7 linked regions of the Ovis aries genome follow. The protein of the gene in region 1 purifies or fractionates together with the protein of each later gene. This does not show direct contact. Links are inferred from orthologs where the notes say so. Each region holds a gene or a part of one and is shown in the gene's direction. Other genes may lie near its edges. The genes, in order: MAX, KAT5, TFDP1, RUVBL2, L3MBTL2, BRD8 and YAF2.

Region 1 (3,500 bases):
TGTGCAGAGCCAAGGCTAATTCCTGGCACACACAAGGTGACCACCCCGGCCAAAAGCCGTCCTTCCCGTGGCCTTTGTAATCTGTACCACTCAAGTTACGCTTGTTGGTACTGCCCTGTGATTTGTCTGTATATAGATATGTTTATCTCCTCAACTAGATAGTAAGTAAGCATCTGGGCAAAGAGGCCATGACTAATACATTTTGTTTCCCCACAGTGTCTGCTCTGTGCCTGACACATAATTCACACCAGATAAAAATGGTTGAATATGAACAGTTTCCTTTTGAGGAAATTGCCTTAAGGATGCCATAAGAGGAAAGCCTGGAGACTCTAGTGCTTGGGAGAACGGGTGAATCAACCTGGGTCTTCCAAACCTCTCTGATACCCGGCCGTGCTGGAGTCTATGAGTTGCGATTGTCAGGGTTTACTACAAGTGGGTATAGTTTTGCTCGCCCAAGTGTGGCTGTTTTCTTTGCCATTTCAGAAGCTTTGCTCCTGCTCAGGAGTCTCAGTGGCATGACTGCCGGACTTCAGCCACTAGACTAGCTTGTCTCGGGCTTCTGTTCTCTGGGCCTTGTACCATTCTGCCAGTTCAGTCAGTTGACTGCTTGGTCATGAGTAACTCAGGCCATGTTTGCAACCCTGCAGGGAATCTCCCAGACAAGTTTGACCTCCAGGATTCAAGTAACCTGACATCCATTTTATTAGCTCATTAACTTGTTCCTCTACAGGGCAGTCCCTAGGCTACCCTCAGCCATGGTAAAGGTGTGGTTGCTTCCTGAAATGGCCCAATCTCATGCCCTTCCTGTGTTGACACCAAGCTCTGACAGCTTTCACAAACTTCTCTTTAGCCAGAGAGGTTGAAATAGTGACTCGGTCACATGGCTTAGTTGGAACTAGTTAACAACAATCTGAGTACTTGTCTGAAGTCTCAGACCTTGATGAAAACCTTTGTACCCATCCCCATCCTGAGCCAGCTCCAGCTGAGATCTTGATTTTGTCTTTCTGGACCAGCTGCCTATAGCTAGGCCCAGCAGAGAGTGAGTGACCTTAGCTCTCAGTTAAGTGGTAGTTTAATTTTTTCAGAACAGCCTGGCCGAAGATGTGAAAGCAACCTAAAGAACCAAAGAGGCTGGCTGGGAAACAAGTTCAGGGTTGAGACAGAGCTGAGTTTGAATCCAGACTCTACACCCTTTAGCTGGTGATTTTGAATAAACCAGTAAACTTCTCTGAGACTCGGGTTCCTAGTGGAACCACCTTTCTTAGAGTGCCAGTGAGGTAAGCTGTGGAAAGCAGCTGGTGCCTTGACCGGCATAAAGAAGATTCTCTACAGCACTTAGTGCTTCGTGCCCTTCCCCTCCTACTTCTGTCCCCCACGTGGCCTTTGCTGAAAGGAATGGTTTCCTTGCTGCATGGACTAGGTCTTTATTTTGTCCCCTCTGCTTTTTCTCATATTGCAACAGGCATCCCGGGCCCAAATCCTAGACAAAGCCACAGAGTATATCCAGTATATGCGAAGGAAAAACCACACACACCAGCAAGATATTGATGACCTCAAGCGGCAGAATGCTCTCCTGGAGCAGCAAGGTGAGCAGTGGAGCTTGTGGGGCAGCTGGCCCTGCTGTGCGCCAGCCAGGTCAGGGCCTCACGCCGGGGCCTGCAGAGTCAGAACCAGTGACGGAGCCATGCTCCTGAGCAGCTGCAGCCCTGCTGCTTGGGCCTGTAGTCGAGTGTAGCCATCCTGAGGAAGGACCTGAGCCCTTGGTGAGGGAACAGTGGAGTCTAAGGCTTAGCCATCTGGATTCTTTTTTCTGACCTGCTCGCTCTCCCCTTCTTGGGGCCCAAGTGTTGCACTGGTAGTAGAGATCGCAGCTGGCCTCAGGTGCCTCAAAAGAGCTGTGAGGTCCTTGGATTGGAGTGTGCTGTGTAAGCGCCAGAGACTCCAGGTGTTCAGGGACAGTGAGCGCTCCCCGTGTCAACGGTAGTCCACTCAGGGCAGCCCATGGGCCAGGCCCATGCTGTTCTCCAATGCTCACACCCGCCTTTTCCTACAACCACAGGGGAAAGCGAGAGCTGATCAAGTTCTTTGTTCCTGGGGAATTCACTTCTCTTCCTCCCTCATGGAAGATGCAAGTAAAAGGAAATGCAAGTAACCATCTGGGTTAGAACATCTCAAATAAAATAAACTAAACCAAAATAAATGGGTTGACCTTCCAGGCTCAAGACGAGCTGAACCGAGGGATGGGCAGTGGGAGGCGGCAGCGGGTTGGTTACCGGGCCAAGCAGCCTGCATGTAGGGGCTCCGTGTTGGAAAACCCAGGTACTCTGTGTATTGGTGACTTGCTTCCAAGTGTCCAGCTTGTCTTTCCAAGTGGATCTTGTACATGAGAGCTAAGCCAAAACTTTTCTTTGGCTGGTACATCTTCTGTCATCCTTCCCTGCTAATGTGTGACCCTCACACCCTTGTGGAGCCAGGCATTGCTGGGCCAGCTGCACTGTTACTGCACTGCTGGGTCCCGCAGCGAGCTCGTGTTCCTCTCTCTGTACTGGGCTTCCACGGCAGGATGGTGACCTCACACGCCTTCTCTTCAGGGTTGGGTGGCCTTGCAGAGTGGCTGGCCGTATCCACTGAGCACTCGTGTCTGGCTGGGAAAGGCAAAGGGAAGTGGGAGTGTGCAGGTGGGCCAGCCAGCGGAAGGGAGTTACTTATGAGCCACCCTGAGCCTCAGGGGCCAGCATGCCCTCGGAAGAACAGGCTGGACCCCAACCCAAGACTCAGTTCCTCCCCTAGTCTCCAGAAGGCTGTAACCCGCTCGCTTGGTTGCCTTTCAGTCCGTGCACTGGAGAAGGCGAGGTCGAGTGCCCAACTGCAGACCAACTACCCCTCCTCAGACAGCAGCCTCTACACCAACGCCAAGGGCAGCACCATCTCTGCCTTCGATGGGGGCTCGGACTCCAGCTCGGAGTCGGAGCCCGAAGAGCCCCAAAGCAGGAAGAAGCTCCGGATGGAGGCCAGCTAAGCTCCACGGGGCAGGCCAGCAATAAAAACTGTCTGTCTCCTCCGTCGTCTCATCCTCCTTTCAGTTCATCTTTAGAACTCTCAGAACCATTTAAGAGACTCTTTGTTTTTTTTTTCCTCTTTCTCATTTTTTTTTTAAATTTTATTTTTACGTAGAAGCTCTTGGACAACAGCTCTCGTTCTCCTTCCCCGTTTCCACTTTTTTTTTTTTTTTTTTTTAACGTTTCCCTTCAGGGATTCCCTGTCCCCACCAGGAATTTTTAAACCAAAACACCCCAACTTGGCAGCTTTCTCTGTGGAGGACAGACGGCCGGCCAGACCTCTGAGCACATGGTGTCCTGACCACCCACCAGCTCCTCCAGCCCCTCCAGGCACATGCCCGGGGGACTCCTGCCCCACCCAGGCCTCTCCTTCTGGGCCATCCTCACCTCTGTTTGATAGACTTTGTGAATCTGTGGACTGCTCTACTTTCAGAAGATGAC
Region 2 (3,980 bases), on another chromosome or scaffold:
TGGACCCTGAAATTTGAATTTCAGAATTTCCATGTATCATGAAATATTCTATTTATGTCTCCCCAAGCTTTAAAAAGAGTGTGAAGACCATTCTTTGCCCACTGAGCAGGAAAGCTAGAATAGGGTTGGATTTGCCCTGCAGGCTAGTTTGCCTACCTGGTCATTCCCTGCACCTTGTGTATTTCGTTGTTGCTGTTTCCCAAAACACTTATCACTCTTTAATAGACTAGATAATTTATTTTTAAAATATATTTACTGTTTGTGATCCACACCCCTCTTTTCCCTCTCAGCCTCCAAGAATTCAAGCTCCAGGAGCTGCAAGTTATTTTATTCATTGATGTATCCCAGGCTCCTAGATAAAATGCCTGGGACACGGTAACAGATTATTAAACAGTTGTTGAATGTATTAATCAATTCTAAAAGAAATCATCTCTGACTATTCATGGGAAGGACTGACGGTGAACATGAAAACCCCGATACTTTGGCCACCTGATGCGAAGAAAAGACACTGATGCTGGGAAAGTCTGAGGGCAAGAAAAGGGGAGGGCAGAGGATGAAATGGTTGGAGAGCATCACTGACTCAATGGACATGAGTTTACGCAAACTCCGGGAGATAGGGAAAGACAGAGGAGCCTGGCAGTTCACGGGAGTCACAAACAGTCGACACGACTTAGACGTCTGAACAATAACAACTCGTATAATTAGCAACCTAACATACAAAACAAACCTATAAACCTTCTTCCGTGGACCCCCAACCCTAGGAAAGTCCACAACTTGCGGGGGTCCTGGTGCCCACTTTTCGAAATCCGCCCCTCAACCCCCCAGCCGAGCACACGCAGCTCACTCCCCGTGACGCAGCCTTGACGCCACTAGGAGACGGCCAAGCGGCCGCCCGCTAGGCACAAACACCAATCCCACGTGACCGGCGTCGCACCCGGTGAGCGTCACGTGACTGACTCAGTTTTCCTCCAATCGTTGCACACGTTGTGGGGATTCCATCCAGGACCTGACCTGAGCCTTAAAACACCCTATGCCCCTGCCAGCCAAACTGGCCGGCTCCGTCAGCAAGCTGGGCGGCGGTGTCTCTTAAGAACCTACTAGTAAAGCCGCTTCGGGGAAGACGGGGCCTACAACGTGCTCAGTCCCGGAAGTGACGGCTCCCAGAGGGGCCGGAAGTGGCAGTGGAGGGAGGGAAGATGGCGGAGGTGGTGAGTCCGGTGCCCGGGGCGGGGCGGAGGGAGCCAGGGGAGGTGGGTAGAGCCCGAGGCCCCCCAGTAGCCGACCCTGGCGCCGCGCTGTCTCCCCAGGGGGAGATAATCGAGGGCTGCCGCCTGCCTGTGCTGCGGCGGAACCAGGACAACGAAGATGAGTGGCGTGAGTGACGTCGGGGGGCGGGGCTAAGGAACCTGAGGGCGAGGGGCGGGGGGAGAGTCAACCGAACCCCGGGGAGGGGGTGGGGCCTCTAGAATCCTGGAGCGGGCGGGGCGCAGATACTCAGGAGGGGCGTGGCTTTTAGCCTTTAGAGCTGGTCAGGGCAGGGCTTGAAGAGGGGATGGCACTTGGTGACTAACCGGGGCTTTTGAGAGCGGTTCCAAGTGCTGGGGCTTTAGGGTTCGGGCCTGGTGGTGGAGTTCAGATCGTAGGAGGGTGGAGCTTCATGGCCTGGCCAGTCTAAGGCCCTTGCCTTTGCTGTTCCCACAGCACTCGCTGAGATTCTGAGCGTGAAGGACATCAGTGGCCGGAAGCTTTTCTACGTCCATTACATTGATTGTGAGTTCTGGGCCGGGATGAGGTGGGGCTGGAGGGTTGGGGGGCAGCCTCTGGCACTCCTTCCTGAGCCATACCCACTGCTGCAGTCAACAAACGCCTGGATGAATGGGTGACCCACGAGCGGCTGGACCTGAAGAAGATCCAGTTCCCCAAGAAAGAGGCCAAGACCCCCACTAAGAACGGACTTCCTGGGTCCCGACCCGGCTCTCCAGAGAGAGAGGTGGTGAGTAGGTCCCCTGCTTCACCTCTTCTCTCCTGCCTACTTTTAAAATCTCTTGGCCTCAGTGGCTCCCAGATGGGCGACAGGCTGTGCCCTCCCACCCTGGCTTCAGCTTGTAAAGGATGGGGCCCAGACTGCAGATGTAGCTTCCAGAGTCCAGTGACTGTACCTGTGTCCTTGAGAGGGCAGAGGGTGGGGTTTGATCACTCCATGCCGAGGGGACCCTACTCCCCTTCCCCATCCCACCACCATCCCAGCCCCAGAGGAAGACCCTGGACCTATCTCTACAGCCGGCCTCCGCCCAGGCCAGCGGGAAGACTTTGCCAATCCCGGTTCAGATCACACTCCGCTTCAACCTGCCCAAGGAGCGGGAGGCCATTCCCGGTGGCGAGCCCGACCAGCCGCTCTCCTCCAGCTCCTGCCTGCAGCCCAACCACCGCTCAACGGTACCCTCAGCAATTCCAGGGACCTTGCTTTCCTCTCAGGTCCCACCTTCTCTACCTTCTGACCCACCTGTCCTGGTTTCTCTCTGCAGAAACGGAAGGTGGAGGTGGTTTCACCAGCAACTCCAGTGCCCAGCGAGACAGCCCCGGCCTCAGTTTTCCCCCAGGTGAGTCCCCCAAGCCATCTCTTCTGCCCTCCTACCCTCTGATAGCCCCTTTGGGCTCACCTCACAGCCACTCTTTCTGTCCCTCCACTATCATTTGCAGAATGGATCAGCCCGGAGGGCAGTGGCAGCTCAGCCCGGGCGGAAGCGGAAATCAAATTGTTTGGGCACTGATGAGGTAGGTCTGGGGAGGAGGGAAGGGTGAAACGAAGGGGACATAAGGAGGGCACGGGGTTTAGTGACTACTTTAAAAATGAACAAGGGGTACTGGGCAGAAAGGGTGTTGGAATTAGGGGTGAGGCGGAACTGATTCAGATCCTGCACTAGGTGATCTTTATCACCTTCCAGGTGAAAATCATCCAAGTCTTGGTTTCTTCAGTTGGCAAGTGGGGATTGCAGTACCTCCCCTAGGAGGGTTGCTGTTAGGAAACCTGTGGAAGGGCTGTGAGCTGTGGAGTGTGCTGCTTGCGTTGTCTTCTGTAACCTGGTATCTTTCACGGGCCCTGGGAAGGACTCCCAGGACAGCTCAGATGGAATCCCGTCCGCTCCTCGCATGACTGGGAGCCTGGTATCTGACCGGAGCCACGACGACATCGTCACCCGGATGAAGAACATCGAGTGCATCGAGCTGGGCCGGCACCGCCTCAAGCCCTGGTACTTCTCCCCGTACCCTCAGGAGCTCACCGCGCTGCCCGTCCTCTACCTCTGCGAGTTCTGCCTCAAGTATGGCCGAAGCCTCAAGTGTCTGCAGCGTCACTTGGTATGGGGAGTCCCAGGGGCCACCCTCCTAGCAGCACCCCCTCACCTCCGCCCCTGTGCCTGATCCTCCTCTCTTCCTCAGACCAAGTGTGACCTGCGACATCCTCCTGGCAATGAGATCTACCGCAAGGGCACCATCTCCTTCTTTGAGATCGACGGACGTAAGAACAAGGTCAGGGGCTGAAGGGCAGCGGGAAGGCTTTGGTGCCGGGAGTCTGGGGGAGTTGAGTGAGTAGCTTCTTCCAGCTCCGGAAGACACTGACAGTTACAGGGGACAGATCTCTTCACCGCATTTACTGCATTCTTGCTGTAGGCCGGGTGCTGGTAGATAAAAGTGACCAGGAATTTGACAAAATCTCTGTTCTCTGAGAGCTCACAGGGGAAGACAAACAGGCCAGTAGCAGTTTGGATCCCAGTGTGATATGTTTCATGAGAAAAGTGGGCTGTCAGGATCCCAGGGTGATCAGCAAGGCTTCAAAGAGGAGGTAACCTCTGAACCTTGACACAAGGGTAGGGTGGGTACAGGAATCCCCAGCAGCGGGTTCTGAAGGGCAGGAGTGGACGTACTGGCAGAGCCCAGAGATCCTGCAGGTTCAGTTCTAGACCACTGTGACAAGGTGAGCG
Region 3 (3,500 bases), on another chromosome or scaffold:
GAAAGGAGAGAAGAACGGGAAGGGGCTGCGGCACTTCTCCATGAAGGTGTGCGAGAAGGTGCAGCGCAAGGGGACGACGTCCTACAACGAGGTGGCCGACGAGCTGGTGGCCGAGTTCAGCGCGGCCGACAGCCACATCCTGCCCAGCGAGTCGGTGAGCGCGTCGGGCGGGCGGGTGCGGAGGCGGCCCCGGAGCCCTGGAGAGGCCGCCCCGCCGCCTCCCGCGGGTGCGGAGGCCCCGGAGCCCTTGGGAAGGATGTTTCTTGACCCGCTGGTGCCGGGAAGCTGTCGCATCCCTGTGGCATCTGCTCGCTCCTGTGGGCCGTGTGGGGGCCGCCCTGGGCGGGGGGTGGGGGGGCAGCGTGTGGCCTCGGGTGTGTCCGGGGCTCGCGTGCCGCTGTGCGCGTGGTCCTGGGCCGTCGGGAACCCCCCGCGTCTCTGCCAGGCCTACGATCAGAAGAACATCCGGAGGCGCGTGTACGACGCGCTGAACGTGCTCATGGCGATGAACATCATCTCCAAGGAGAAGAAGGAGATCAAGTGGATCGGCCTGCCCACCAACTCCGCCCAGGAGTGCCAGAGTCTAGAGGTGCCCGGCTGCCCCCCTGCGGTGCTGGGCGGGCCTGGGAGTGCCGGGCGCCTCTGTGCTGCCCCTGGCGGTGACCCGGGGCTGGAGGCTGATGGCCCGCTTGGCCTGCGGGGGTTTCCACGCCCAGAGGAGCGGAAGTCGGGTGGAGGCGGCACAGTCCTGAGACGGAGGAGCCGCCCGCACGCCTGGCAGCAGCTGCCTCCTCTGGCCCCCGGCCCCTATCAGGCTCAGGGCTCGTGTCTTTGGTGACCGTGTTGCCTTGGATTTTAAAATATGCTTCGGAAACGAACCGCTATGGTTTTGTTTTGGTGTTTGATCTGTGAAGGTGGAGAGACAGAGGAGGCTGGAAAGGATAAAGCAGAAGCAGTCGCAGCTTCAGGAGCTCATCCTGCAGGTTAGGGGCCCCTGCGCGGAGGCTGCCCTCCAGGCACTCGGTTCCGGGCGTGCTTCCCCTGGCCTCTCGGGGGACCAGCCTCCTCGGTGTTGGCTGGGGCTGGGCAGGGCCGTGGCAGATGCCCAGGGGGAGGTTAGCTGTTCAGTGGCCGCGGGCCTCAGCGTGGGCCCACTGTGCGTCTTTTTTAGCAAATCGCCTTCAAGAACCTGGTGCAGAGGAACCGCCAGGTGGAGCAGCAGGCCAGCCGGCCGCCCCCGCCCAACTCGGTCATCCACCTGCCGTTCATCATCGTCAACACCAGCAAGAAGACCGTCATCGACTGCAGCATCTCCAACGACAAGTAGGCGTGAGGGGGGCTCCGCCCACGGGTGTGGGCGGGGCTTGCTGTGCCCGCCGGCGTGGGCGGGGCCTGCTCTGCCCCGCTGTGTGGGAGGGGCCTGCTCCACCCCCCCCCGCTGTGTGGGCGGGGCCTGCTCTGCCCGCGAGCGTGGGTGGGGCCTCCTGCTCTGCCCCCTGCTGCATGGGCGGAGCCTGCTCTGCCCCCGCTGTGTGGGAGGGACCTGCTCTGCCCAGCTGTGTGGGAGAGGTCTGCTCCCCCCCCTGTGTGGGCGGGGCCTGCTCTGCCCCCGCACCCCCTCCCCCCGCTGCATGGGAGGGGCCTACTCTGCCCCCCATGTGTGGGCGGGGCCTACTCTGCCCCCTGCTGTGTGGGCGGGGCCTGCTCTGCCCGCGAGCCTGGGCGGGGCCTACTCTGCCCCCTGCTGCATGGGCGGAGCCTGCTCTGCCCCCGCCGTGTGGGAGGGGCCTGCTCTGCCCAGCTGTGTGGGAGAGGTCTGCTCTCCCCCCCCCGCTGTGGGCGGGGCCTGCTCTGCCCCCCCACCCCCTGCCCCCGCTGCATGGGAGGGGCATACTCTGCCCCCCATGTGTGGGCGGGGCCTGCTCTGCCCCCGCTGTGTGGGCGGGGCCTGCTCTGCCCACGAGCATGGGCGGGGCTTGCTCTGCCCGCCAGCGTGGGTGGGGCCTGCTCTGCCCCCCCTGCGTGGGCGGGGCCTGCTCTGCTCCCCCCCCTGCGTGGGTGGGGCCTGTTCTGCCACCCCCCCCCCCCCCGCTGCGTGGGCGGGGCCTGCTCTGCCCGCGCTGCGTGTCTGACAGGCCGCGTGGCGCGGCTCCCAGGGAGTTCACTGGCGGGTTTCCTTACCCGGGCTGTGCAGCTCCTTGGAAAGGAGGGCGGCGGGGCGCATCAGGACGGCAGGCGGCACCTGGGGCCTGTCCCGGTGGCGTCGCTGCCTCCGATGGGTGGGTTGTGTGCCGGGGGAAGGTTTGCGGGCTCGGGGCCCCAAGTCAGGCGTCGGCTCTGTCCTGGATATGGTGCTTTTCTGACGGTGACCGTCGCCTCCAGGTTTGAGTACCTGTTCAATTTCGACAACACGTTTGAGATTCATGATGACATCGAGGTGCTGAAGCGCATGGGCATGGCCTGCGGGCTGGAGTCCGGCAGCTGCTCCCCCGAGGACCTGAGGGTGGCCAGGAGCTTGGTGCCGAAGGCGCTGGAGCCTTATGTGACAGGCCAGTGGCATGGGGGGGGGGTCACCTGCCCGCGGGAGGCGCAGAAGCAAGGGGGGCGGGGGCTGAGGGGGCTCGCGGTTCCGGGGGGGTGGTGCTGCCTGTAGGGTTCGCAGCTGAGCAGGTGTCTGGAGTCTGTCCTGCTGCCCCCCCGCCCCGGCCAAGCTGGGGATCCTGGCAGCGGCGGGGGGCGCTCTGGTGAGAGGAGAGGCCTCCCTGTGCCCCCCTGGTTGTGGGTTCCCTCACGAGCCCCGCATTGGGTGGCCTGGGGGCTCCCAAGCCCTGCAGGACGTCCGTGAAGCAGCTCCTGCTCTCCGACCCCCAACGCCAGCGGCTGCCCCGCCGACCCCTGCTGCCCACCTGTCGGCGTGGTGGTCCGGCCGGGCGGAGGGGAGGGTTGCGTCCGGGAGGCGGGGCGGGGTCCCGCCGGGAGGCGGGGCGCGGGAGCCGGCCCCCTTTGGCCCGTCCGTCTCCTGGAGGCCGTGTCCCTTCCCGGCCCTGCAGTGCCGTCTTCGCCCCTCTCCGGAGGGTGCCCAGCCCGGAGCCATCGGCCCTGTCTCAGCGCCCTGTGGGCTCTGCTTCGTGACGTTTGCCTCGTTTTCTTCCTCTTTGCAGAAATGGCTCAGGGGTCGCTCGGCGGTGTGTTTGTCGCGTCGGCAGTGTCGACGTCTAACGGCACGCGGCTGTCTGCCAGGTAACTGCGCCCCCAGAGCCGCGCGGCCACCCTCCCCGGCGGGAAGCCGGGGTCTCATGTGAGCGGCCTCCGTCCTGCTTGGAGCCGGGCTCCCTGCGCAGCGGACACCAGGGCCCCAGGGTCGTCCGGAGCTCGTGCTCTGGGCAGAGAAGCTGTTTGTTCTGATGAGAGTTTCCCTGTAAAGACCAGGAGGGGTACATGGATTTTATTTTCTTTTGAAGTAATTCAGTGCCGCGGCGGCAAAACCGCCTGAACTGCGT
Region 4 (3,500 bases), on another chromosome or scaffold:
GCATGGTGGGCCAGCTGGCGGCCCGGAGGGCAGCCGGTGTGGTGCTGGAGATGATCCGAGAAGGGAAGATTGCTGGCCGGGCGGTTCTCATTGCTGGCCAGCCAGGCACTGGGAAGACAGCCATTGCCATGGGTAAGGTGCTTCTCCAGGCAGTAGCTCTTTTGGCCTCACCGGATGATCCTCCCATGTAAGTCAGGGTCAGGTTCAGCCATGTCTAACAGACAGCACAGAATGGAAGTGGCTTAAACACTAAGGCTTTCTTCTGTCACATAGAAGAGTCTAAACATAGGCCAATTCAGGCTTGTTAAGCAGTTCTATGAGGGCTCCTACCTTCTTGCCTCGAGATCACTTGCTTCCATGTCAGGGACACCTTGGGTTACAAAAAGGTGGCCTATGCTCCAGCCATCCCACCCATACTCCATATAAGAAGAAGGAGAAAGGAATTGTAATGAGGGTGTACCTCCTAGAGGGAGCTCCTTTTAAGCAGCTGTCTCAGGGCACCCACATTCTCTTGCTTATATTTTATTGACTAGAAGTTAATGACCACACTCTACTGCACAAGAGAGAGAGAGGCATTAAAACTTTTTTTTATATTTTAATTGGGACTACTGTTACCTTACTGAAATGGGCGTTCTGGAACAAAGGAAGATGTGAAAGATGAGCATTGTATAGACAATCAGCAGTCTCTTTTGCAATTCATTAGTAATTTAAAAGCTTTTTACTCACAACTGTCCCTTATCCTTGTTGAGCTCTTATCTGTCCTTCAAAACTGCTCTCTGACATCTTTTCCTTGTTGAAGGTTTCCTGGAGTCTCTTCCCACTCACTCTCACCTTTGTGCCTGGACTGTGGGGCCAGGCAGTGAGACTCAAGGCAACAGCTAGGTCCTCAGTTAAGAAAAAGTAACACTCATATTTGGGGACACCAAGATGATTAAGACCAAAGTCCTGACTTTAAGGGGCTTCCAGCCTGGGGCAGGTGTTAGTGGACACAGTCCCGTCCATGTAGAGAACAGAGGAGGCTTCTCCTCCGATGAAGGGTGATGGGGAGAGAATGGGGTGGCAGTTGTCAGGAGGGACATCCCAGGTGAGTCAGTACTGGAACTGAGACTCGCAGGAAGTCTGGGAGTCTCCTGAACAGACAGTACGGAACATGATACCCAGGTGCAGAGTGTGGCATGCCTCTGGAAAGGGGACCAGGAAGAGTTGCCACCTCGCACTGGTCAGGAGGGTTCAGTGACTTCCTGTCTGGGAGACTTGGCTCAGAGCTGGGCAGAGCCCCCAGGAAGGGGAGCTGGCAGAGAGGCCCGGAGCTTGGAGTGATGGCAGGAACTGCCCACTGTCTGCCAGCTGACCCCAGGCCCCAGACCATAGAGGAGGCCCTTCCCTGTGCTGGTCCCAGGTCACATATCGGGGTCCCGGCTGAGCACCAGGGCATGCCTGCCCGCCCTTATCATTGCTCCTATGCAGCAATGTCGTTCCCTGCCAGCGCTTGTTATGTTATGGTTCCCATTACCCAGAGGGGCAGGCTGGCTTGGGGAGCAGCTTAGGCTTCTTAAGATAACTTGGTGCTAAGCATTGAAGCCGGGATTCGAACCTGCACAGTCTCTTTTAACCTCTTTCAGCCCCTTGCCTCCACCCCTGCTCATCCCCCCCAAGCCCTGAGGCTAAACAGCTCTCAGAGGTTGGGAGGCAGGTCCAGCATGACTGTAGAGTCATAAAGTTTTTGGTCTGGGCAGTGTGGGGTTCCAACCCAGGGCCTCCCAACATGGCCCGCCATCACTCACTTTCTGCAAGTCTCCCTGTCTGCCCCACAGCACCGAGCCCCTTTTTCCTGTCTGAAGAAGAAGAGCTGGTTAGGGAGATGTGAGGACCTCGTGCCTGGACCACCTACCCAAACTGCCTCCCCTCTTCCTCAGGCATGGCGCAGGCCTTGGGGCCCGACACCCCATTCACAGCCATCGCAGGCAGTGAGATCTTCTCCTTGGAGATGAGCAAGACAGAGGCACTGACCCAGGCCTTCCGGCGCTCCATCGGCGTGCGCATCAAGTAAGCAGGAGTAATGGTAGCTCCCAGCAGCCTTGGGACGCCACCTGAGGGATGCCAGCTCGTCCTGTGCCCAGGGGCCCACAGGGGTGAGCAGTTCCTGAGGGCCCAGGCCGCGAGCTATCTCCTTAGATCTGTTCTCTCGCCAGGGAGGAGACCGAGATCATCGAAGGGGAGGTGGTGGAGATCCAGATTGATCGGCCGGCCACAGGGACGGTGAGTGTGCTCCCAAGTCTAGGCTACCCCAAGGGCTGGGGGTGGGTAGGGTGTGCTGGGTCTGCACTGAGGTCAGAATCCCATGGAAAGTTCGAGATGCAGCTTAGAGTCATCCATATGCCGGCAAGAGAGGGTCGGTTGAATTGATGGCGGTTTGTCCGTTTGTGAGGGGCACAGTGAGCTAAGTGGTGGAACAATGGAAAAGGATATGGAAAAGAACATATTTATGTCTAACTGGATCACTTTGCTGTACAGCAGAAATTAACGCAATATTGTAAATCAACTATACTTGCCCCAAAAAACAAACCAAGCAATGGAATGACGGAGGAGGTCTTGAAGTTTCTCACAGTTAATTCCTAATAGTTAGGCTTACAGACCCGTTGGATTTATAAATCTTAGTACCTCAACTGTACTAACAGTACTAACAGTAAGAATTAACAGGACTTCCTGGTGGTCCAGTGGTTAGGACTCCGCAATTCCACCACAGATTCAATTCCTGGTCAGGGAGCTAAGATCCTACGCGCCTCTCAGCCATAAAACCAAGGCAAAGCAGAAGCAATATTATAACAAATTCAATAAGGACTTTAAGAAATGGTCCACATCCAAAAAAAAAAAACTTTAAAAAAAGATTTAAAAAAACCCTAAAACTTAGCCAGCACCTCCAACCCTGCCCCTTCCTCTGCCTCTTTCCACAGTACCCCATAGAAATAGCCGCCCTCACCCGTTGGAGTTTCATTAGCTTTTATCACCCAACTGTGTATTCCAAGACTGCCCATTTTAAAAACTTATATGTCTTTTAAGTCTTCTGTCATAGTCTGGTTTCCCCTTCATCTCTTTCTCTCTCTTTCAGTTTTTCTGTAGGTCTGTTTTTCACTGACATAAAATCACACAACATAAACTAACCATCAACCCTTTCAGAGTTGCTCCTCCTCCCCTCCCACGCCACCTGCAGTCCCTGGCAACCACAAATCTACTTCCTGTCTTAATGGACTTGCCTCTGATGGAATCTAAGAATATATGACTTTTTGTGTATGTCTTCGAGGTTCAGCAGTGTTTGTAGTTCTCTGTTAAATATTAAGTTACAGGTGTTAATAAAATGCAAAATAAAAGGAAGTCTAAAATTGCTTCAAATCCATTGACCTGATGCACAGTCCTACCTTCTGTTTCTGTGTCTTGCAGGAACACCCTCCTCTTTTTTCATTAGCTTCTCATTTTCAGTGGAAATAGACTTAAAGTGAATA
Region 5 (3,998 bases), on another chromosome or scaffold:
AAGGGCCACTGTTTCCTCATTTGTGAAACAGTGACTGATTGTCCCTGATTTAAGATGTTTGTAAAGCTCCATGATAGAATTTCCTTGATGGCTCAGTGGTAAAGAATCGCCTGCCAATGCAAGAAACAGGGTTCTGATCCCTGGTCCGGGAAGATCCCACGTGCTGTGGAGCAATTAAGCCTGTGTGCCACAACTAATGACCTTGTGTCCTAGAGCTGGTACTCTGCACCAGAGAAGCCACGGCAATAAGAAGCCCACGAATTGCAAGGAAGAGTGGCCCCCACCTTACCCCCACCTCTCTGCAACTGAAGTCCACACAGCAAGGAAGACCCAGCACAGACAAATAAATGAATATATATTTTTTTAAAGCTCTACTACAGCACCTAGAACTGTGAGTAAGGACGGTTGTGGGTCCTTAAAGACCGTTGTGGGTCCCAAAAGAATGAGGCAGAGAGCCTCATATCTGAGGTTTATTTCAGGAGATGGTGATGCAAGGTAGAGTGTTGCAGAATTTTAAGCATGTGGGACATTTATACCATTGGACCTAAGAGTGAGTATTCCAGTTTCTGCCTAAACAGGGAACAGTCTCTCTGCTAGGCATCCCCGCACTAGGGCACGTTTAATTTCTCATCAGGGAAAGGGCGAGGTTTTTCCTGGAGGGTGCCTGAACAGTACTTTCTTACGTGAAGTCACTCAGTCGTGTCTGACTCTTTGCGACCCCATGGACTGTAGCATACCAGGCTCCTCCCTCCATGGGATTCTCCAGGCAAGAGTACTGGAGTGGGTTGCCATTTTCCTTCTCTAGGGGATCTGCCCGACCCAGGGATCGAACCCTGGTCTCCTGCATTCCAAGGCAGACGCTTTAACCTTTGAGCCACCAGGGAAGGTTGCTAGTACCTTCTTAGGTACTCAATAATTGTTTAATGAAGAACGGAGTCGGTGTGATAGCAAGAGGTTACCGTGGAGAAACAAGAACTATCCTCCCGGGTCAGGCAGGTCTGGGGCGGGGAAATTTTCACGGCGCCACAGCAACGACCCCCTCCACGCGCAGCCCAAAGGAAACTACAAGTCCCATAAGCACCCGCGGCTTCCCCGCCTCCAGGGGAGGCGGGGCTCAGGCCAGCGCGGAACCGGCTTTACCTCTTTCCTGCAGCGTGATTGGCCTTCGGCCCTGGGAGGCGGCCAATGAGTAAGCTCCGGGAGAGCGGCGAGGCCAATATGGCTTCCTGCACCTGGTGACGGTTGAAGAAACTGTGTTAGGTCTCATGGAGAAGCCCCGGGGCGTCGAGGTGAGAGGGAGAGGACTTCTCGGAAAGGGAACCCCGAGAGCCTCGCTCGGTGGGCCTTTGAGCGACGCCTGGAGGGTGGAGGATGGAAGAATGGATAAACAGGTAGTTAGGCTGAGCAAGGCCAGAGGCGATTGGCATCGCCTTTTGCTCCCGTTCTCCTGGGTCCGAGTGAGGTTGAGGGAAGAACAGCTTCACTGGCCTGGGGGAAGAGGAACTGGGTTCAGGATATGAGAGCTCCTGAATCTTCCTTCTCCCCCTTGTCTCATGGTGGCCTCTTTAGGGACTGTGAGGCCTGTCACATCCTGGTGGGAAGTAAAGGAAGATTAAAGTTTAATAAACACTCCGTATCTGGAGCGTTCTCGTGCGTTATCCCACAGTAACAAGTCCTGTGTTATTGTCTGTTTTTTATGGATCATGCACCTGAGGCTTGGAGAGGGTAGTGCCACTCCCCAGGAGGGCCACGCAGCTGTAAAGTGAAGGAGATGGGCACTAAGTCTGTCAGGTTCCAAAACTCTCCCTGTTTTGCTTTTCCCATTCTTCCCACCACCTGCAACCCATATATCCTTTCATCATTTGGCTTCTGGTTACCTTATATTTGAATGTCCTTTCTGGCACATTTGCATATGTAGTGTAAATATAAAGTGGAATCGCTCACAAACTCTCCGAGAGTCAAGAAGAATCATCATCAGTGTAGAGTGTGAATGATAACTCCCAGTTTCAGAGCTGTCACTGACTGCTGGGAACAGAACTAGGCTTTACATAGCGCCTGGGTGCGCACAGCAGCACTCTAAAGAAGGCTTGTTACAGCCATTGTACTGATGGAGAAACCGAGAGCCCTAAGTAGGAGAGCCCGGATTCCAGCTCCGGCATATCCGATTTGAGTGCCTGTGCTTTTAACCAGTAATGATCACCAGCATTTATTGAGCACTTGCTGTTTGCATGTCACTATTCTGAGTGCCTTTCCCATAGTAACCCTTACTTCTCCCCCAAAGCCTATGAAATAGGTGGAATTGTCCTCATTTACAGATGGGGAAACCGAGGCACTGAGATTGAACTGCTGCAGGTCATATAGTAGGGATGGTTTTGGAGTCTTGGCCTAGAGCCCAAACGCTTCACACCTTTTCTGCTACATGCCACGTAGATTCATATAGAATACCTCATTTCACATTGCACATCTTTTGAACCAATTTTTTTTGTTGTTGTTTTATAGATGAGAAAAATGAGACCCAGACAGGTTAAATAACTTGCCCAAGGACCCACAGCTAGTTAGGATCAAGGCTAGGTCCAAAGCTAGGTATGTCCCACAGTGCTAGTATGTCATTTGCCTCAAATCCTCTTTAGGGCAGTCTGGGCCCCAAATTAACTTTCGTCTGACTTAAATTGTTTTTGAGTTGAAATTACTTTGGTGTATACCTGCTGAAGGGGGAAGAATGAGTTTCTGGAATACATCTTTTCCAGAATGTCTTCACGAAGCACCATGCTTAGTATATTTTCACATCACTCTGTTCTGTGTGAATTGTGGTAAAATGTCGTCATGTATAAATCCGCAGAGGACCCTGGTGAATTCCTAATACATGTTTCTGTCTGGCTAAGGTATTCTTTTGACTTGCAGTTGAGAAAGGTATAAACAAGAGTAATGATCCTGGTGTTTACGAAAGGGGTGTTTGATTGTACCTGCCGCTCGGCCCAGAAGCGTTGACTTGACCAGGACCTGGAAAGGGAGTTGATAGCAGACCTGCAGTTTCCCTTGTCTTACAGTAAGCCAACCACGATTGCTCCTGCCTGCTTTGTGTCATCCTTTTCCTAGGAGACTCCGTCTTCAGAACCGATGGAGGAGGAAGAGGAAGACGATGACCTGGAGCTCTTCGGCGGCTATGACAGCTTCCGGAGTTACAACAGCAGTGTGGGCAGTGAGAGCAGCTCCTATCTTGAGGAGTCAAGTGAAGCAGAACATGAGGATCGGGAAGCAGGGGAGCTGCCCACCTCCCCGCTGCATCTGCTCAGCCCTGGGACGCCCCGGTCCTTGGACGGCAGTGGTTCTGAGCCAGGTGCCTTCAAAGTGTCCCCCAAAGATAGGGAGGTTTCAGAGGCTATGGATGGAGAGGCAGATGTAGGCCAGGTGGGCGGAGCCGTCCAGGTGTAAAGGGCTCTTTGATCTGATGTCTAAGGACCTGTGAGAGAGACAGAGGCACCCCAAGTATCCCCAAGGGTCATTTCAGTCTGATTTCAAGTTGTGATTTCATTCTTTTCTCACAATTAATATTCATTCAGCACATATTAGATGCCGATCATTAACATGGTGGTGCTTTTGCGTTTGTGTAAATAATAATAGTTGGTGGATTTCTAAGCCTGGGTCTTGAGAATATACGACACCTAATGTGATCTGGTTACTCTCTGGGAAGGGACAAGAAATAGCTCGTGAGTCGGAAGTGAGAGGCAAGGAAATACAGAATTAAGTGACCTCCAGGTAAGAGGATGAGGGCAGATAAGAATCCCTGTGAATCATCTGGAAGCCAGTTGGCGTCAGAGGTGTGATGCTTGTACAGCTGCTGGACCTCGGTGTCAGGGCCTCCAGTGTGGGGACTGCCTGTGCAAAGAGGCAGGTTAGATGGTCTGTGATGACACTCCTGTTTCTTGGTCCCTTTACTCTTTAGAAGAGAAGCATCTAATACTCTTTGCCTCTCCATTCATCCTGTCTTCTTTTCCTCT
Region 6 (3,980 bases), on another chromosome or scaffold:
GGTGGAGATGACAGAGCAGTCTGACAGCAGGTCCTTGCGTATAACAGATCCCAAATCTGCAGCTGTGGACTCAAACATGGGGGAGACTACGACCTCCTCATCGGACAGCAAGCCAGCTGGTGGAGAAAGGATCCCTTGCGACATGGCAGCAGGGGCAGTTTAGGTCTAAAAAGAGACAAGAGTGGGTAGGGAGGAGAACCTTAAGGGATAAAAGGGGCTGAAGAATTCGCCCTCTTTTCTAGGTAAGAAACAATTCCCTTGCCCCAGGGCAACCTAGTCTCGCTGCCTGAATTCCTACTCCCTTCTCCTTTCGACTACCAGCAAACGGGAAAGAGAGAAAGAGTTAATCATTTAATCCAATCTGAGGCAGCATTTCGGACCGCGAACAGGAATGAACAGATATCTAACTCCGAAAACATAAGGCCAAGTTCCAAGTAGGGAGCCTCCCTCAGCCGTGTCAGAAGCCCTAGGCTCATTCTCTATACCTCGCTTCTAGGCCCACGGTGAGGACAGAATTATTAAGAAAAACAGAAATGGCGGCAGTTCCGCTTTCTGAATGCCTAATCCGCCAGAGCAAAGGTGCCCCAACTTGACTCAAGTTCAGCCGCACACTTACCTAAAGACGCCACACTTCTACGGGACCGGCTCACTCACACCCCACAGCCGAAACTGGGCTTTCGGCAGCTTGAGAGGACAACCCCACCCACGAAGCGCACCTTTGTTTCTGATACAATGTTTTAAATTGCGCGCTGAGTTCGTTCGGCCAATCAGATAGCGAACCTTGCACCTACCAATCAGTGCAAGGGGGCGGGCGAAACCCGGAAACGGTTTTCTTAGGCTTGACCTCTCTGCTCAAATGTGGGACGGGTTACCAACTGTTGGATTTTGGAGCTGGGTCAACTGGAACTTCTGTTTATCAGTTTTTCTTGAACCCTAGGCATTTCTTTTCTAAGAAGCCTGAAGGAAATCCTAAGGCTTCAGCCACCATTCTCTGTTCTTTCGCACATTCCTTCTCAGGAACTCACAAGAATACCTGATTTGGGGCGCTGGTTCATCCTAGGGTGGGGAGAGGGGACTACATTTCCCAGGACGCACCGCGAATAAACGCTGGAACGCTATCTCCCAGAATTCCTTGGGCTTCAATTCGGCCAGAAATCTTCCTTCGGGGGTTGGAGACGTCGGGGCCAAGATGGCGACGGGAACGGGCAGTAAGTATCTGCCTTGCTCTTGCGTGGAAGGTGTTTGTAGAACCAAGGCCAGGCAACAGATCTGTCACACTCTTAGGGAGTAGAAGCAGTGATTCACCTGAGAGCCCAGAGCCATCAGAGACTTGGGCTCGAGCGGCGCTGTTAAGGCCAGCGGTTGGGGGTTGAGGGCCCAGAAGCGTGAAGTCTTACACTTAAGTAAGGCCGCGGAGTTTTTTTGCTTTTAGAATTTTTATTTATTGGCTGCGCTGGGTCTTCGTCGCTTTCCGTGGACTGTTCTCTAGTTGCCGCGAGGAGTGCTCCTCTCTAGTTGTGGTGTGCAAGGCCACGGAGCTTTGAGAAAAGCAGCCTAAGAAAATTCTTGTATGTTTGTCAGCTCTGCGGGGTGAGAGGGAAAAAAGGTGCCTTAGAGGCTCCGGCGTGCGGACAGAGATGCTGTGAGCCATATGGAGTGGCCGGGGTCCCAAAGAGTCATTTTCTGACGAACATTTGTGAGGCCTGTACTCACAGAGAGATGGGACATGTTAATCGTGAGCTTTTTCTGCCACTAGGGAAAAAATACATTTCCTGTATCTCAGCCATTTCCCTCTGTTTCAGGGACTGAGAAGGTCTTGTAGGCCTAACAGCTTGAGGGGAATGGGTGTAACTGAGAGAAGTAAACAAGTTTATGCTAAGAAGGAGGCGGGGCAGTAGCGGGGGTTGGCCGCTCGGAATCCTGGGAAATAAGGCCTGGGGTCCACTTTGGAATAAAGCATTCTTTTTTTTTTGGCCAGGGCAGAGCTGGGAGGTTGGTGGTTGGCAGGATCATGGGACCCACGTCCCCTCTAGGGAAAAGGCACAGACTTAACCACTGGACCACCAGGGAAGTTCCTGGAATAAAGCATTCTTAAAACTGGGTTTTTTGGAAGAACTGCCCTAAATTAACTTGACTTTTTTTTTTTTAAATATGGTAGAGTAACCATGGCATTTACAGAAAAATGTTTTGCCAGATAATCAAGTGCAGTTCTCAAGCAATGAATAGGCACCATCCTAGTGGTGGTGTTTACTAGAGAGGTGAAAATCAAGATTTGGTGATAGTGGCTCACTTTGTCCTTACAGGTTAGGACATTTTTGTATTAGACTTTTAATCCTCCCTTTGGGACTTAGTGCCTCAGTGGTTGTCTCTAAATCTTTCAGAACATAAGCTGCTGAGTACTGGCCCTACAGAGCCATGGTCCATCCGAGAGAAGCTGTGTTTAGCGTCTTCTGTCATGAGGAGTGGAGATCAAAATTGGTAAGGTATTTAGGATATCTGCTTCCTTGGGTATTAGAAACCGTTTTTTTTTTTTCCCCTTCATGTAAGTACCGGTGGATTCCAGTAGTTAACGTTTAAGCAGTAGTTAACAGCCTTCTTGAGATGCAATTACATATCACAAAATTATATTCACAGAATTCCCAGTATATTCACAGGATTTAACTTAATTTATTAAAATTATTAAAACTTATTAATATTTAATTTATTAAATTCACATAATTTACATAGGACCAATGCTAGAGTCTAATTTTACATTTTAAATACACTTGAAAGAAACCTCTTACCCTTAAGGAATCACTCTGCAAATCTCTTCGCCTCTCTAATATTTCCGCCTCCCTCACCAAACACTCATCTACTTTCTGTCTCTCTATAGCTTATTCTGATCATTTCATATAGATGGAATCATATACTTTGTGGTACTCTGGGGCTTAGCATAATGCTTTCAGGGTTCATGCTGGAGTATGCATCAGTACTTTATTCTTTGTTTTGATGAAATTGTAGTTCCTTGTATGGGTTTACCACATTTTGTTCATTTGTTGATGAACATTTGAGTGGTTTTTACTTTGCTGAATATTAATGCCGCTGTGAACATTTGTGTACAAGCTTTTGTGCAGGCATGTTTTCATTTCTCTTGAAAGAGTGGAATTGCTGGATCATAGTTGAGTTCAGTCACTCAGTCGTGTCCAACTCTGCTACCCCATGGACTGCAGCACGCCAGGCTTCCCTGTCCATTACCAATTCCTGGAGTTTACTCAGACTCATGTCCATTGAGTTGGTGATACCATCCAACCATCTCATCCTCTGTTGTCCCCTTCTCCCGCCTTCAATCTTTCCCAGCATCAGGTCTTTTCAAATGAGTCAGCTCTTCAAATCAGGTGGCCAAAATATTGGAGTTTCAGTTTCAACATCAGTCCTTCCAGTGAATATTCAGGACTGATTTCCTTTAGGGTGGACTGGTTTGATTTCCTTTCAGTCCAAGGGACTCTCAATGGATCATATTATAACTCATATTTATCTTTTTGAGGAACTGCTTTCAAACTAAAAAGTGGCCTCACCGTTTTACATTCCCACCAGCAATAAATGAGGGACCCAGTTTTTCTGCATGCTTGGCAAACATTTAGTCTTTTTGATTATAGCTATACTGCTGAGTGTGAAATGGTATTGTATTGTGGTTTTAATTTGTGTTTCTTTTAAGTACCAGAAAGTAGGACTGTGTGTGTTTTCCAATCTTTTTTTCTACCAGGACATAGTCTCATTTTTAACATTTGGTCTCCCCGCCCCCGACTTTTTTTTTTCTCTCCGTATCTAAAGTTACCTTTTAGTTGTCTTAAGTGTTAAAATTACTTAATAAACAAATTTGCATTTGTAGGGTTTATCTCTACTACTTTAACCATTCAAATGAGTTTATGAAAGCACCATTACTGATCACATGTAACACTTCTACAATTCTATGTATTTTTCAAATAACTTTTCAAAGAGAA
Region 7 (3,500 bases), on another chromosome or scaffold:
GCAGTTTTATTGTAAGGTTCATGAAGTTGGAAATTAGCTTTCTTTCTTTCTTATGTAAAAGTGGGAGTGATTGAGGAACTGTGTCTCATAAGCAACATGTACCAACTTGGAGACAGATACTGATGGGGAAGGAGTGATTGATAGCGTTGTAAAAATATTAAGTACCTAACTACAACACAGCAGTTACATTCCTAAAAACTTCGTGATCAGAGAATGCATGATTGAGACAGTTTCATCTTAAGGGAAATACTGTATTGAGGTTAATAATGAATCCAGAAAAACCTAGAAAAATATTCAGTTTTGCTTAAAAACAGCACTAAAGAAAGAGAATATACATGATTATGTATCTGAAGTTAGTGATAATGGCCTCTAAATAACCAACGTCAATTTACTGATTGATGGAAACATCAGGATTTCTACTCTAGAATGTGAATTTAAAAAATTTTTCAATTTATTGAAATTCAGTTGAAAATTTTTATAAATTTATTTTGTATTCAATTTTAGGTTTAAGGGAGTAACAGTACAAACTGTATTAAAGGAAGTTGTCAAACTTCCATTTGTTATGGCAGGAAGAGATTCAGACACCCATAATACCTTGGGAGACAAATGATGACTACACCTCAGTTGCATTATATAGCTTGGAGTGACTCTCAATTTTAGGTGACTCACTGTTCACCAGGCACTAGTCTAACCAAATCTTTTCACAACCTGCCACACCTTTGAACTTTCTTTCTCTTTGCATACCCTAGAATAATTAAAAGAGAAATTAATTCCTGCTGCTCTTGCCTTTCACTGCTTGCTTGCTTCTATGTAGTGAGTGGTTGATCCTGTGAATAAGCGTAGAGACAGTATTCCTTTCCTTTAAAAACATCTTTGTGGGTGAAGGGTGGAGGGGAGGTTCAAGAGGGAGGAAACATATGTATACTTATGGCTGATTGTAAAGTAGTTGTCTTCCAATTAAAATTTTTTAATAAATGCAGAAAACCTTTCCTCATTAAACCTGATTTTATCATTCATTCATTTTTCAACAAATATTAGGTATCTAGTATTTTCCAATACTATGCTAGGTACTAGTTATCCAGTGGTATATAAAACTGATACCGTGTCTTTCTTTGTGGAGTTTATACTCTAGATGAGAAAACAGATGGTAAAATTAAAATTGCGACTGCTTCCTTAAAACTCCCTGTGTTCCTTACTTTTCTTTTCTTCCATGGCATTTATTCACATCTAAGAGCTTGTTTTTTTGTTTAATTTCATCCACAGAATACTGGTTACATGAGAACAAGCAAGAGTTTCTGTACGTTTTGCTAAGGGACTATGTTGGTTGAGAAGTGAGAAAGGCATGTTTAATTAGTCACCATATCCCCTTGATTCTGCTTCTTCATTCTGTCCTTAAATAACCCCATGGCCTCTTCCATTTAGTTCAAGCCCTTTTTATTTTTGCCTGATCTGTTAAAGTAGCTTTCCCTGCCTCTGTAGTACCTTTCTTTTCCATATTGCTGCCAGTAATTTTCGTAAAATTCAAGTCTGAATTTCTTCAGTGATCTCCCATCTTTAAAGAGTAAATCAGGCTCCTTGGCTCTGCATTATCAGGTTCCTTCATATCTTTTTTTCATTTCTCTGCTGCTCCCTGCTCTCCATCTTAAACTCTTTGCTGCAGTAATGTTAATATATTACACTCCTTCACACTTCTTTGCAAAGTGTGGTGGCTGGACCAGAGGCTTCTGCTTAACTGGGAAGCTATTAAAAATGCAGATTTTAGGCTCTATCTGAGACCTACTGAATCAGAACCCTGGGAGCAGAGCTAAGCAAGCTAAACAAGACTTTCTAGTAATCCTGATGTACCTTAAATTTGAGAACCGGTGCTTTAGTACTTTTTCTTTTAAAGTTTATTTCCTGAACAAGCTCAGCCAATAATATTTTCATCTATGTAACTCTTGATATGTATCATTAACCCTGCCTGGTATCTGGGTCAGCCCTACTTTTTAAACTGTATTCTGGACATCTTTCCTGGATATTCTACCTGTACTTCAGACTCCGTTGGTTCTAAACAAAATTCAATATCCATCTATTAAGATGTTTTATATACTGCATCTCCTGTTTCCTCCTTCAAAGGATTCCTTCCTCCTTGCAGCTTTGAAAGCTAGATTGTGCAATATTTTCTCTTTGGTTTCTATTTTGTCTTGTTTTAGAAGAACAGAGGAAAAAAATTTTTTTAATAGTTGTGCTGACCAAAATAGGATCAGGATTTTCCAGGCAATAGATTACTGTTGTTTGTAGACCATCTGTTATGATTTATTTTTATCTTATTTTTCCCTATTTTGTTCCTCCCATCTTTTTTTCCCCTCTTTAGTAGTCTTTCTCATTTTAAGAGACTATTAGCTTTGAATCTTGACCTCAGCCACCCACACTGTACCATAAAGTTGGTGGGATCCTTGACCCTGGGCTAATAGAGTGACAACTGGTACCAAAGGCTGTAGTCTGGCAACGTTTCATCTCTCTCCGTACAGTTTTGCAGTAGGTTCTCAGTACATTTATTTATTTATTTTTAATAAGTAAGCTAGGCAAGTCTCAAAAGACTGGGAAGATCTCCAAGTTCAAAAAAGCACAGTGAAATTGTGGCTAGATAGGTAAGGAACCTTAAAGACTTTAACAATAAGGAGAAAATGTACTGAATGAATAAATGAAAGATTTTTAAAGAAAAGAATAGCCGCTGTCACAGATGGTGAGATATTTCCTTCTCTGAGAGAGGAGGGATACATTTAGATTTTACTTCAGTGTAAACTTTCAAGTTTAATTTAAAAGTTTCATGTTTGTTTATATGTTTGCTTCCCCATGAGCACAGTTTGATATACATTTTTAATAATTTTCATGTTGATTTACGTGACAGTTACATTTTAATAGTTTGACTATATATCTTGGACAATAACTTTGAACCGTTATTATAGTTCTATTTTTGTTGACTAGGAAAGACAATAATGTATGTGTGTGTGTATATACATGTATATATATCTGTTAAATTGCATATCTGAATTACCTTACATATGAAAAATTTTTATATGTGAAAATCACAATATATATCTATTCTCATAATTTGAGGTATTCTCATAAAAAATCATGTTCTTAAATTATAGTAAGAAAAAAACCTTTGTTTTTAACATGTACACAGGAAACCTCGACCTGTCTCCCAGTTGGTTGCACAGCAGGTTACTCAGCAGTTTGTACCCCCTACACAGTCAAAGAAAGAGAAAAAAGATAAAGTAGAAAAAGAAAAAAGTGAAAAGGAAACAACTAGCAAAAAGAACAGTCATAAGAAAACCAGGTAAATTTGAAGAGTGTTTTAATGGTACTTTTGAAATAATATAATTAACCATTTAATATTGTCTTTTAACACTGATATATAAAGTAGAATGTGAAATATGTAGAAATAAAAGATTTCATCTGTTTTACTATGTCATGAAAGTATTTTTTCAAGTTGAAGATATTAGAAACTAAATATG

The links.
Region 2: the proteins of MAX (region 1) and KAT5 purify together in Homo sapiens (affinity purification with mass spectrometry; 3 studies listed by BioGRID and IntAct, with this or other methods). This does not show direct contact. The link is inferred for Ovis aries from reciprocal best matches to the Homo sapiens genes MAX and KAT5.
Region 3: the proteins of MAX (region 1) and TFDP1 purify together in Homo sapiens (affinity purification with mass spectrometry; 5 studies listed by BioGRID and IntAct, with this or other methods). This does not show direct contact. The link is inferred for Ovis aries from reciprocal best matches to the Homo sapiens genes MAX and TFDP1.
Region 4: the proteins of MAX (region 1) and RUVBL2 purify together in Homo sapiens (affinity purification with mass spectrometry; 3 studies listed by BioGRID and IntAct, with this or other methods). This does not show direct contact. The link is inferred for Ovis aries from reciprocal best matches to the Homo sapiens genes MAX and RUVBL2.
Region 5: the proteins of MAX (region 1) and L3MBTL2 purify together in Homo sapiens (affinity purification with mass spectrometry; 6 studies listed by BioGRID and IntAct, with this or other methods). This does not show direct contact. The link is inferred for Ovis aries from reciprocal best matches to the Homo sapiens genes MAX and L3MBTL2.
Region 6: the proteins of MAX (region 1) and BRD8 purify together in Homo sapiens (affinity purification with mass spectrometry; 3 studies listed by BioGRID, with this or other methods). This does not show direct contact. The link is inferred for Ovis aries from reciprocal best matches to the Homo sapiens genes MAX and BRD8.
Region 7: the proteins of MAX (region 1) and YAF2 purify together in Homo sapiens (affinity purification with mass spectrometry; 3 studies listed by BioGRID and IntAct, with this or other methods). This does not show direct contact. The link is inferred for Ovis aries from reciprocal best matches to the Homo sapiens genes MAX and YAF2.

Annotation. Positions count from the first base shown.
Region 1 is NC_056060.1:75,272,682-75,276,181, reverse strand, and holds part of MAX (protein max), read left to right. Parts: intron 1-1,462; coding exon 1,463-1,586; intron 1,587-2,059; coding exon of another isoform or gene 2,060-2,076; exon of another isoform or gene 2,077-2,831; coding exon 2,832-3,019; 3' UTR 3,020-3,500. UniProt on the Homo sapiens protein: Transcription regulator. Forms a sequence-specific DNA-binding protein complex with MYC or MAD which recognizes the core sequence 5'-CAC[GA]TG-3'. The MYC:MAX complex is a transcriptional activator, whereas the MAD:MAX complex is a repressor.
Region 2 is NC_056074.1:40,318,170-40,322,149, forward strand, and holds the start of KAT5 (histone acetyltransferase KAT5), read left to right. Parts: upstream 1-1,180; 5' UTR 1,181-1,196; coding exon 1,197-1,374; intron 1,375-1,701; coding exon 1,702-1,770; intron 1,771-1,856; coding exon 1,857-1,993; intron 1,994-2,280; coding exon 2,281-2,436; intron 2,437-2,525; coding exon 2,526-2,600; intron 2,601-2,700; coding exon 2,701-2,775; intron 2,776-3,108; coding exon 3,109-3,357; intron 3,358-3,438; coding exon 3,439-3,528; intron 3,529-3,980. UniProt on the Homo sapiens protein: Catalytic subunit of the NuA4 histone acetyltransferase complex, a multiprotein complex involved in transcriptional activation of select genes principally by acetylation of nucleosomal histones H2A and H4.
Region 3 is NC_056063.1:86,066,332-86,069,831, forward strand, and holds part of TFDP1 (transcription factor Dp-1), read left to right. Parts: coding exon 1-154; intron 155-445; coding exon 446-589; intron 590-914; coding exon 915-983; intron 984-1,171; coding exon 1,172-1,323; intron 1,324-2,382; coding exon 2,383-2,549; intron 2,550-3,161; coding exon 3,162-3,240; intron 3,241-3,500. UniProt on the Homo sapiens protein: Can stimulate E2F-dependent transcription.
Region 4 is NC_056067.1:55,305,493-55,308,992, forward strand, and holds part of RUVBL2 (ruvB-like 2), read left to right. Parts: coding exon 1-132; intron 133-1,916; coding exon 1,917-2,046; intron 2,047-2,192; coding exon 2,193-2,259; intron 2,260-3,500. UniProt on the Homo sapiens protein: Possesses single-stranded DNA-stimulated ATPase and ATP-dependent DNA helicase (5' to 3') activity; hexamerization is thought to be critical for ATP hydrolysis and adjacent subunits in the ring-like structure contribute to the ATPase activity.
Region 5 is NC_056056.1:218,193,470-218,197,467, forward strand, and holds the start of L3MBTL2 (lethal(3)malignant brain tumor-like protein 2), read left to right. Parts: upstream 1-1,198; 5' UTR 1,199-1,265; coding exon 1,266-1,289; intron 1,290-3,096; coding exon 3,097-3,337; intron 3,338-3,998. UniProt on the Homo sapiens protein: Putative Polycomb group (PcG) protein. PcG proteins maintain the transcriptionally repressive state of genes, probably via a modification of chromatin, rendering it heritably changed in its expressibility.
Region 6 is NC_056058.1:47,270,508-47,274,487, reverse strand, and holds the start of BRD8 (bromodomain-containing protein 8), read left to right. Parts: upstream 1-1,180; 5' UTR 1,181-1,189; coding exon 1,190-1,208; intron 1,209-2,381; coding exon 2,382-2,478; intron 2,479-3,980. Other genes in the region: kinesin-like protein KIF20A, read right to left, coding at 1-144. UniProt on the Homo sapiens protein: May act as a coactivator during transcriptional activation by hormone-activated nuclear receptors (NR). Isoform 2 stimulates transcriptional activation by AR/DHTR, ESR1/NR3A1, RXRA/NR2B1 and THRB/ERBA2.
Region 7 is NC_056056.1:144,816,565-144,820,064, forward strand, and holds part of YAF2 (YY1-associated factor 2), read left to right. Parts: intron 1-3,169; coding exon 3,170-3,322; intron 3,323-3,500. UniProt on the Homo sapiens protein: Binds to MYC and inhibits MYC-mediated transactivation. Also binds to MYCN and enhances MYCN-dependent transcriptional activation. Increases calpain 2-mediated proteolysis of YY1 in vitro.